Linked DNA regions of Bombyx mori. The protein of the gene in region 2 purifies or fractionates together with the protein of the main gene of each other region. This does not show direct contact. Links are inferred from orthologs where the notes say so. Each region holds a gene or a part of one and is shown on either strand. Other genes may lie near its edges.

Region 1 (6,458 bases), on a different chromosome or scaffold from region 2:
AGCGTTCCCGATGTTTATGTCCTTCGTTTTCAGCCATATTCAATTTATTTATTACGGACACTAACTTCACTGAACATAGCGACGTAAAATTTTTCCAACACGACGCAGGTTGGTTGACAATATTGACAAGTTGACATTTACGTAAATTGATAGACGTGTCATTTGTCAATTCTGGAGTAAATACAAAAAACCGGTTAAAGCTATGGGTTAAAGTCGTGATTCCATTTGAAACTGTCATTTTTGTGATATTCTTTATGATTTTATGGCCTGAACCTTTAAATCAATCATCTTTAGGAAGTAATTATACATAGAGATAGAAATTGAGAGAGTATTATATGATTACTTTTGTGGAGTCAAATAATTTATTTATGTAATTTGTACAAATTATTTAATCTTGCTAAACGATAAAAGTGTCAAATAAAACTGCTAAAATCAAAGCTTTATTTATAGAGGGCGTAGCCAGCTTTTTCATTTAAAGTGATGGTAGTGATTTTATTAGTTCTTTTTCAGAATCATATTCCTTGGACAGACGAGGTGATGAAATGGTTACTGAATCTCATAGACATTTCAGTTCTCTTAATATCTAAATGACATCGATCTAGCCCTTGCATGCTAAGTTTTTCACATTATTTTCAAATGATATTGGAACATTTGGCGTTAGTGGTAACAAGTAATTAAAAATGTGTTCAATGTTTGGCTTTTTTTGATCAGTTTGAAATCGTAGAGTATTTGTAGGCTAACCATTTATTTTGTGTGTGTGTGGAAAAACGAAATTCACTGAAAATGGCTTCTAAAACTCTTTCTAAATTTTAATGACAGGTTCAGTAGGTACCGTACAATGGGGTAAATAGGGACAAAATCGACCTTCAGATTGAATTTTAAAATAGTTCCAATAAAATAGTCACTGCTCAACCAAATAAATAAGTTGAGTCTTGAACGTACCTAGGTGATAAAAACCGTTACATAATTTTAATTATTCATTTTAAAGAAATAATCGGTAAAATAATGGCCGTCCCAATTTACCCAGCGTCCGGGGTAAATTGACACGGTTAAGGGTTAAATTGGGATATTTGTAAGGGTTGTCAACTCGCAGTACTGCGATATATAGGTAGGTGCCATATAATTATTTATATGGACCGAAATGATGAATACAATCCATAATTTAAGCACAATACACAACATAGTGTAAATTAAGCTGGTTTCTATTCCGAAGCGATGTGACGTGAATGATAATCAACAATACAATGATCAAAAAAAGTATGTGCATGTTATATTTTAGAAAATTATTATTTAATTTCCTTAAAAATCACAACTCTGAAACAAATTGATAAAATAGAATAAAAAATAGAAAACAAAAGGACTGGAAATGCAATAATACAATTTTATTTAATCAACATTTTCAAAATAATCTTTGAGCAAGAGTAAGATATCAGGTGAATAAGATAAAAAAACAGCTTTATCTGATTACTGCCAATAATAACAAAAATAAAAGAAATTCTTTCTAAGCTAAATAACTAAACTCAATTAATTCACTCACTCATAATTGGATATATCGGATTTTTAATTAATGTTACATTTAAAATCTGAGGCCTGTTTTTATTTGTGTGTGCGTTTTGAATGTTAACAAAATCATGATTCGATGCGTGAATAGATTCTGAAATAACAAAAGTTTTGATTCGTTTGAGTTCTTTTAACTTTTAATTTTTTTTATTGCTATAAAGAACATACGACCGGGCAGATATTACAAGGTAAATGTCGCGAAAAAAAGTAATTATATATATACTTTTCTTTTACCTATAATACTTACATAAACTAACTGATAAACACATTAACCTTCTTTACATCACGCAATTAAGTGATAGTATAGGCTAAAAAATCTATTATAAGATATCAGTGACAACCCTAACAAGCCATCCCTATTTTGTCTTTTGGCGTTCCAATTTTGTGTTTTCTCGTCCCTAATTTTTCCAGTCTCGTTCCCAATTACCCTACATACGTCCCAATTTTCCCCAAAAAGAAAGGAAAAAATATACATTTTTTATTTTGTCGAAATATTGTATTTAAAATAAGAATATTGCAACTTACCGTTTGTTGTGGTATTTCCAGGTGTATTAAAAACTTATATAAACTGTGATCTTATTGAAAAAACAACGATAATATTACTTTTTTTAAAAGTTCTTTAAGCTGTTTTAAAACTCACTTTTCAACCACTATTTTCAATTTAATTTGACGAATTTTTGGGACCAACTTAACTCATATTTAGTACTTCCATAGTTAACTTGGTTTTTCTTCTATACATTGATAAATATTAACTTAAACAAAATTAGGTAAATTCCGTGCTACAGGTACTTTGAGAATCTTCCGCAGGTTTGTCCCAATTTACCCCAGGATCCCAATTTACCCCATGTCATGGTACCTATTGTTCTACATATTTCATGACAAAGTTTCCTTTGCCTGTCTCAATGTTAAGTCTATGGAAAAAATATCTGGTGTCAAATTTCCTGAAAAGCTGGAGCAAGTTTATGTATTTCAACTATTAGAATTTTAATTGTTAATTTAATAAAATGCAGGTATAATAAATGGAACTTATCAGTAAAATGATGTGCAGTACATTAAAGTGAAAAGTTTAATTTTATTTTGTTGTTTATTTTTAGAACCCCAATGAAGATACAGAATGGAACGATACCCTTCGAAAGATGGGTATTATACCGCAGAAAGAAGCGGAGTTTTCGGAGGCCGATATTGTGAACATGATAGAGGACACAATACAGCAAAAGGAAGCTGAAAGTAGGTCAACAAATACGAATTTTTGAGGTTAAGCTCTACGATGTAAATGCAATATGTATTGGCTCATCAGTAATCAACAGTGAATCATTACCCGGAAACACTGAACGTAATGAACTTCGAAACTTTTTGGTTTAAGTACCTATAATTTCATTATTCATTATACATTCCTTTAGACTAGTCTAGTTTATAATTGATATGCATCACCAGTACACTAAATGAATCCTGGAATTAAACAGTCACCAAATTAATAGTTTTCTTTCTGCAATTCAATCATTTTGTTAAAAAAATTCTTTGCATCCAACACCTTATGAAATGTTCAGCCAAGCGAGACTCATCACCTAAATTAGCTCTAGTAAGTACAGTTAAGTGGGACGCATTCATTTTTGTACTGGCATAGATAATGAATATTCACCAATTATGAATTTTTTGGTGATTATTTGTTACATCAAAATACATTTGCTTGAATTTATATATAAACTAAATTGAAAATATTCAGGAATAACAAGACATGTTAAGACACTACTAATGTTTAAAGAAATATTTTTCTTAAAGATCTGACAAAATGTTAGTCACACTCTGTATTATTATAATTATAAATGTTCAGCTATGAATTTACAATTAACTTTGTGTTTTGTTTTCCATTCTGACATACTGAACAATTAACCCTACGAATTTAAGAAGTGACTCCCTCAAAAATGTAGTAATCATCACCTATTGGGTGCAGAGAATTGATAGGATAGTTAATGAGTTCATTTCATTGGTAGAACGCCAGTTCAGTTGATAGGGACACTTTTTTTAACATCAGCCAAAACACCATCGTAGATAGTTGTATGCTGAGGACGAGAGTTCAAGCCACCCTTGGCAAGTGTTTTGAACACTATAAACTACATAATTAACTGGACTGACTGTGATGGTCTCCAATAATAACAATTTTTACTTATTCACAGAACAAAAACAATTATCTGAGTTAGACCTTGATGGATTGGACGAACTTGAAGATTCAGAAGATGAGGCTGTTATAGAAGAGTACCGCAGGAAACGATTAGCAGAAATTAAGAAGCTGTCTGAGAAGCCTAGATTCGGAGAAGTGCGAGAAGTCTCTGGTCAAGATTATGTGCAGGAGGTTAACAAGGCTGGTCAAGACATTTGGGTGGTCATTCATTTGTACAAACAGGGGTGAGTGGAACGATGAATAAGATATAAAGACATTAGATAAACCAATATCAATGTATGTAGTTTTTTTCCTCTAGATAACCTAGCACTGACTTTTTATGTCATTGGGCCATTATGACCCTTTATCTGCAGACTGCTCCAATGATTATTATCAATCATATAAATCAAAAAATTTCAGAATACAACAATGTGCACTAATAAATCAACATCTACGAGAATTAGCAGTCAAGTTTCCCTACACAAAATTCTTGAAAGCCATTGCTCAGACTTGCATCCCAAACTTCCCAGAGAGGAATCTGCCTAGTTTATTTGTTTACTTTGAGGGCGAAATGAAGCAGCAGTTTGTGGGGTCCCACGAACTAAGGGGCACCAGTTTGACTTGTGATGGTAAGCTATGAGAATTGATTTTTATAGTTTTTTTTTAATTTAATTATAATTGGTTACATTTTTAGTAAGGATTACTATTAGTGATTGTTATCATATAACAATAGCACCACAAGGCTTGCTTCTCACCAATAGCAAATTTAATACAGTAGTAGTAATTTAGTCAGTAGCAGTATAACATGTGAGTCTCCATTGAGAAGCATCCGTTTTGCCACCAAGAGTGAACTTCAATACAGTGTATTGTAGTTGAAGTAGCTGTGAATAAATCAATTTTTAAATGATGGTAATTGATAGCTTGATACCTTATATAGCATGGCCAATAGTTCTATGTGAACTTTGTGAATCAATTCACTTTTGTAGTGGTTGTTATAGAGTTATGTATGAATTAAATTATATTGACATTGAAAAATAGACAAAAATGAAAATATAATGAATAAAATGAGTCTGAACCGTGAGATATTAGTGATTATAGTCAAATTGAGATGAGCTAGTGGAAAGTAATAAAATAAATGTATTTGAATTTCCAGAACTCGAATACATACTCGGTAAGGTTGGAGCTGTCGAAACGAGCATAACAGAAGATCCCCGACCAAAGATCAAAGACAAGTTGTTTACTGACCTTGGAAGTAATGACTGGTGATTTTAGAATATTAATTTATGTTAAAGTTAATTTATATTTTATGTTACATCTAACAGTATGTTTTTTTTTTAAACTGTATTCTGTCGCTTTACTTATCAAAAGCTTCTTATGTGAACTGTATTAAATTAATATATTAAGGTTTGTGCTAAATGAGCATCATTATCAAGTGAACTTGTGTTGTTATATAGGACCCCGTTGTAAAAAAAAATCTATAGTAATGGCGTATATACAGAGACCGGTTAACCCATGTCTGATGGCAGTCTTTTTGTGGTAATTGATTCAAATAAAAATTAAAACTTCTTTAGTCGCAAACAATTGATATAACTAGATTTAATTGTTACAACAAAACTTGCGAAAGTATGTGACTGTATGAAATTCAAGTCATATATTTTGATTTAAACGGTCAGGTCAAAGGGCATTTGTTTATTTAATCCTTTGAAAAAAAAAAATTTGCTCACTGACCTCTTATAAATGAGGACAAATAAGCCTCGCGTCGCAGCGCAGTTGGTCACTCACACAGGGCTACAGGTTTTAGTTCAATAATATAGTAACAAATATATTTTTATACAAATGTATTGTAGATGAGACTAAAAGAAATGAATTTGTAATTTTTTTCGTTCAAACATACACTAGGGCCTATCCAAAACTTTATAACGAAGGCGGGAATCATGTCTGTCTTAATAGAATGAAATTATTTATGAAAATATGAATATATTTTTGCCTTATTGTATTTATAAAAGTTATATTGAAAATTTTTGCCTTCTGGGATGTAGTATTACTAATTTCTTGTTTTTAATGCACAATGTTAATTTATTTGTTTATTTACTCATTGTCCATAAATACAATTCGTAACCGGATGCTAATAACAAAATAGTCTGATTAGTACTTCATCAAGCGCATACAGTTTGTATACCCAGTTATGGGACTTTTTTGGGGTTTTAATGCTTCATTGTATTTCTAGCTTTCGTGGAGTAAATGCTATTCTATATGTTTAAGTACTCTTCCCTGATAACTAAGACTTTGATCCAATTTGTGCACATCAATTCATAGTATGAGTATTCTACCAGCGCCTCATGCTTTACGTTGACAATTACCCTATACGACATTATAATATGTGGTTAATCATTGTGTATTTATGTACAATCAATGTCAGATCGTAGTATGTATAGATCTAAACTGATAAGTGTAACGAGGAATAGCACTAACACAAGAGCGGCTCGGTTACCTGTTGTAGCATAATTGATTAAAACCTTTGTTTTAAGAAATTATGAAGAAATGAAAAAAAATGTTAAAATTTTTTTTGTTCCATGCAACACTTTAATGTCAATTACATGTCATTTAATTTAAATACACATATACCAATATATAATTACTAAAATAAAACGAAGACTTAGTGTAAATATGATAAGAATCTACATCTGTATTTGATTATTTACAATTAAATATGTTTGCTGTTCATTGGTTTTTTTTTCAA
Region 2 (4,192 bases):
ATGAAACTGGGATAAGACAACGCATTAACAACTAGGTACGCTCCCTTAGTGGTTGATGTGGTTTTTATAGGTGAAGGCCAACAGCATACAATAATTGGAAAGATAGAATCATATAAAGAAAAGATACAATACTTATGTACAATTTGTAAAAATAATAACAATAAAAGATAGATAAGATAGAAATATCGCTCATTATGTATGTAAAATACGCATTTAAGAACAAGGAAGTTCGTCCTTCGTGTTGGAATCCAAAGTATGCCTCGGTCAAGGTGTACTGATTGAATGTACATAGGCTTAAAATTTGAAATAATAAAAGTATTGGAATTTGCATTTTTTATTTTCATTTTTAAATGCACAACTATGAAATATAGGTATATACTACACCGGTTGACCTGAAGTGATGCTGTGACCGCGCGCTCTCCGCCCTCTATCTCGAAAACGGTTCATCGTAAGAAAAAAATTTTTAAACAAATTTTGTAGAGAATGTTGTATTCTACAATATTGTAATATATACAAATAGCAAAAAACCCATAGGAAATGAAATATTTACAAAAAAGCGCAAAAAAACGATTTTTGTGACCTTTGATCTTGAAATTGAATAGTTGCGTACACCCTACCATATGTAGGTTTTGAGGCAACTTTCAGGATGTCAATATACAAGTATTTACAGACTTACAGCTGGATATCTCGAATTCCGAGATTCTTACCTAATTTAAACTTAAGTGACTGGACTATTACTAACACTAACGTCCCGTTCCCAGTTAATATGAACTATCTCTTAACATTCCCTAATCCTAAAGTTGTAAATGCATTAGCTTATTTTATTTCCCGCAATAACATTAAACTAAAAATATTTACAATTTTTTCTCCCGTTCTCATTCTTCTCATCTGCTACCATTTATCTGTATCGCTGATATTCTATCTACCTGAGATTGGCAGAGTCATTCGTCAAAGAAGAGACTCGATCCATTGAATAAATAAAATAAATTCTTTGTCAATATTTACAGTGCTATGTCATTCGCTTCAAGCTGATCCTATAGTCTTAGCATTAATTGCTACTGGTAAATGTGAAAAATACGTTCAATTATAGTAGAAAAAAGGTGTCAGAATCAAAGAGCAAGGAATAAAGTAGGGGATATCATATGTTGAGTGCACACTTGGTAAACTTGACCTAATGAGCCGATTGCTTGACCACAATCATACGTTGGCGAAGAATTGTAATTGGAATCAATTGTAGTGGATAAAAATGGGTCTGCGGACGCCAATGAAGGCTATTTTTATTACATTAGGACATTAATATGTAGGTTTAAAGATTAATATGAATAACAAAGAGATAATTAATTTAAAACAACGATGATTGAATGTCCGTGTTTCCTTTGCCTGTACGAGTAAACAAAAAACTTTGAGTGTGATTTACTTTGACATTTGTGATTGTAAAATTTGAGTTTTGTTTTGTACTTGCGGAGAACAGAAATATTAAATCTATTTTCATCTTTCGTTTGTGCACTATTTAAATCGTGAAAAATGGCCCTGTTCCCGGGATCGGTGGCCTTTGATGAGTATGGCCGTCCATTTATAATCTTGAGGGATCAAGATAGACAGAAAAGACTTACCGGTACCGATGCCATAAAGGTACCTATTTCAAATTTAAATTATTATAATGTAATTGAAATTACCCATTTAAGTTTTTCTAATTCTAATTGATCAACATTTATTAACTAATCGAAGCGTTAAAAATATATAAATCAGTACAGCTCTGTAAAACAAAATCGAAAATTAACCTAGAAAAAGAAGAATTAGAAAGCCGAGAAATTTTGTGATATCCATAACTTTATCAATGAAAGTTAATATAAATAGTTTATTTAAAGTTTAAAAGTATGTTTTAATCCATAATCAAGGACATCAGTACAAGATTTTCGAGGAAAATCACTCCAAAGTGAAACAGGTGCTTGACATTTCAAGATGAATCACATGATTTATAACAATTTCGAATATTGTTGATTAAAACACTGAAGTCACAGTAAATTAGGTTCATAGTTTTTATTTAATTCGCTTTGATTATATAAAAACTATGAACCTACCTTCTAAAATTGGCCTAAAATAAAATACTATTAAAACGAACTTCATTGTAAAAAAGTATTTTTACTAACAAGTCAAAGATGAAACTGTATTGAATAAGTTAAAACTAAGCCCATTAAAATTAAAAAATAAATAATATCACAATAAAACAATGCTGAAATTCAATTTTTCAATTCTCAAGAATTTGAAAGATAATATATATTAATAATCTATGGTCAGTGATTTTTTGGCTTCTTAGCTTGACTAAATTTCTTAGCAAAATTGCGAAACATACTATTTGTACTTTAGAAAATATTTGATAACTGTAGAGGGTGTAGTGATTTCGTTCTGTCCTCATACTTATTCATTTTCTCGAATACAATTTTTTTTAGAAGTATTTTCACTCACTTAATTTCATTTGATTTGTAGTATACATTAAAGTATGTATACAATATTAAATTGACAAGATTAAATAACACATGTTAAAAGCACTAATTGTTCCTTCATACCCAAGTTGCATTCTTCTTTTGTCCTTCACACATTCATTATTTTGTCCTTTATTCTTGGATACTGATGATGTTTAATAAACACGTAGTGTATTGATTTACTGTGAAATCACCTGTTCTATGGACTGAGGTATCCAACAGAGTTGAATCTAGTGAAAGACTAAATTTATTTATGAATTTTTTTAATAGATTTATATGATTCAAGGCATAACTTTGTGAAGTGTGTGCTTACAATGCATATCTGTGTGTTGGTATTATTCCCACTTGGTGTTTTATTTTTATTTTTATTGCTTAGATGGCTTGACGAGCTCACAACCCACCTGGTGTTAAGTGGTTACTGGAGTCCATAGACATCTACAATGCAAATGCACCACCCACCTTGAGACATAAGTTCTAAGGTCTCAGGTATACTTACAACGGCTACCCCACCCTTTAAACTGAAATGCATTACTGCTTCACAGCAGAAATAAGCGGGGTGGTGGTACCTACCAACGCGGACTCTCAAGAGATCCTACCACCAGTAGCATAGCATAGCACTTTAAGCTTAGGCTTAAAAGAAAAAACCTACTAGCATAGCACTTTAAGCTTAGGTTTAAAAGAATAAATGTTATTATATTTGAAGTCTTGAGTATATTTATTTGGAGTATTAATACACAACAATTTTTTTTAAATAATTCTGTATTGTCACCTAATCCTGATATTCTCTCTCTACAGTCACATATACAGGCAGCCCGACAAATTGCAAGCACTCTTCGCACATCTCTTGGTCCCCGCGGTCTTGATAAGCTTATGGTGTCGTCTGATGGTGATGTGACAGTAACAAATGATGGGGCTACAATTCTAAAAATGATGGACGTTGAGCATCAGATTGGTAAACTACTTGTGCAATTGGCTCAGAGTCAAGATGACGAAATTGGTGATGGTACCACAGGGGTTGTTGTTCTTGCTGGTAAGTGTCAAGTTCAATAAGTATTTATAGTACTCAACATGACTACTCTCTGCTCTTATCATAAAGTCATTTTTGGGGCTTATGGGGTCTGCTGCGTGAGCCTTGGTTCAGGCAATATGGGGTTTAGATCCGTTACTGGAATGATTATGTCCAATTTCACACACACAGCAATTTATTACATAAAAACGATTAGAAGGAGAAAAGCGACAAGCACAAGCACAGTTGAATAGTTCACAGCAAACAGTAAGAAAAAGTCCAGGCAAAGAAGGAGACATAAACTATACACACTAAACATTCAATATAAACTTAGTCAATCGAGACAGGCGTATGCGAGTAAATGTGACGTGAGCTTCGCGGTCAGAGGTCTGCGGACGACTGGCGCAGGAAGCTGCGACGGCGCACCTCGCGCCGTTCACACAAAGACTTGTGAACTACGCAATCATGTGTAAGTCACCACAGGGCTAAACTTTTACAATTAATTTTAGGTGCACTCCTTGAGCAAGCCTCAAATCTGTTGGACAAAGGTATCCATCCGATTCGTATAGCCGATGGTTATGAGATGGCTGCCGCCCTGGCACTGACCCATCTTGACAGCGTCAGTGAAGCTTTCCCAGTCAACAAGAATACGAGGGAAAATTTAATTAAGGTGGCCATGACAACCTTGGGCAGTAAAGTGGTG

The links.
Region 1: the proteins of T-complex protein 1 subunit epsilon (region 2) and viral IAP-associated factor homolog purify together in Homo sapiens (co-immunoprecipitation; 3 studies listed by BioGRID and IntAct, with this or other methods). This does not show direct contact. The link is inferred for Bombyx mori from reciprocal best matches to the Homo sapiens genes CCT5 and PDCL3.

The regions. Positions count from the first base shown.
Region 1 is NC_085131.1:762,641-769,098, forward strand, and holds viral IAP-associated factor homolog, read left to right. Parts: upstream 1-2,414; 5' UTR 2,415-2,564; coding exon 2,565-2,570; intron 2,571-2,654; coding exon 2,655-2,787; intron 2,788-3,734; coding exon 3,735-3,963; intron 3,964-4,138; coding exon 4,139-4,347; intron 4,348-4,871; coding exon 4,872-4,984; 3' UTR 4,985-6,442; downstream 6,443-6,458. Other genes in the region: atlastin, read right to left, coding at 1-37. UniProt on the Homo sapiens protein: Acts as a chaperone for the angiogenic VEGF receptor KDR/VEGFR2, increasing its abundance by inhibiting its ubiquitination and degradation.
Region 2 is NC_085108.1:3,072,173-3,076,364, reverse strand, and holds the start of T-complex protein 1 subunit epsilon, read left to right. Parts: upstream 1-1,392; 5' UTR 1,393-1,524; coding exon 1,525-1,632; intron 1,633-3,278; coding exon 3,279-3,513; intron 3,514-3,998; coding exon 3,999-4,192. UniProt on the Homo sapiens protein: Component of the chaperonin-containing T-complex (TRiC), a molecular chaperone complex that assists the folding of actin, tubulin and other proteins upon ATP hydrolysis.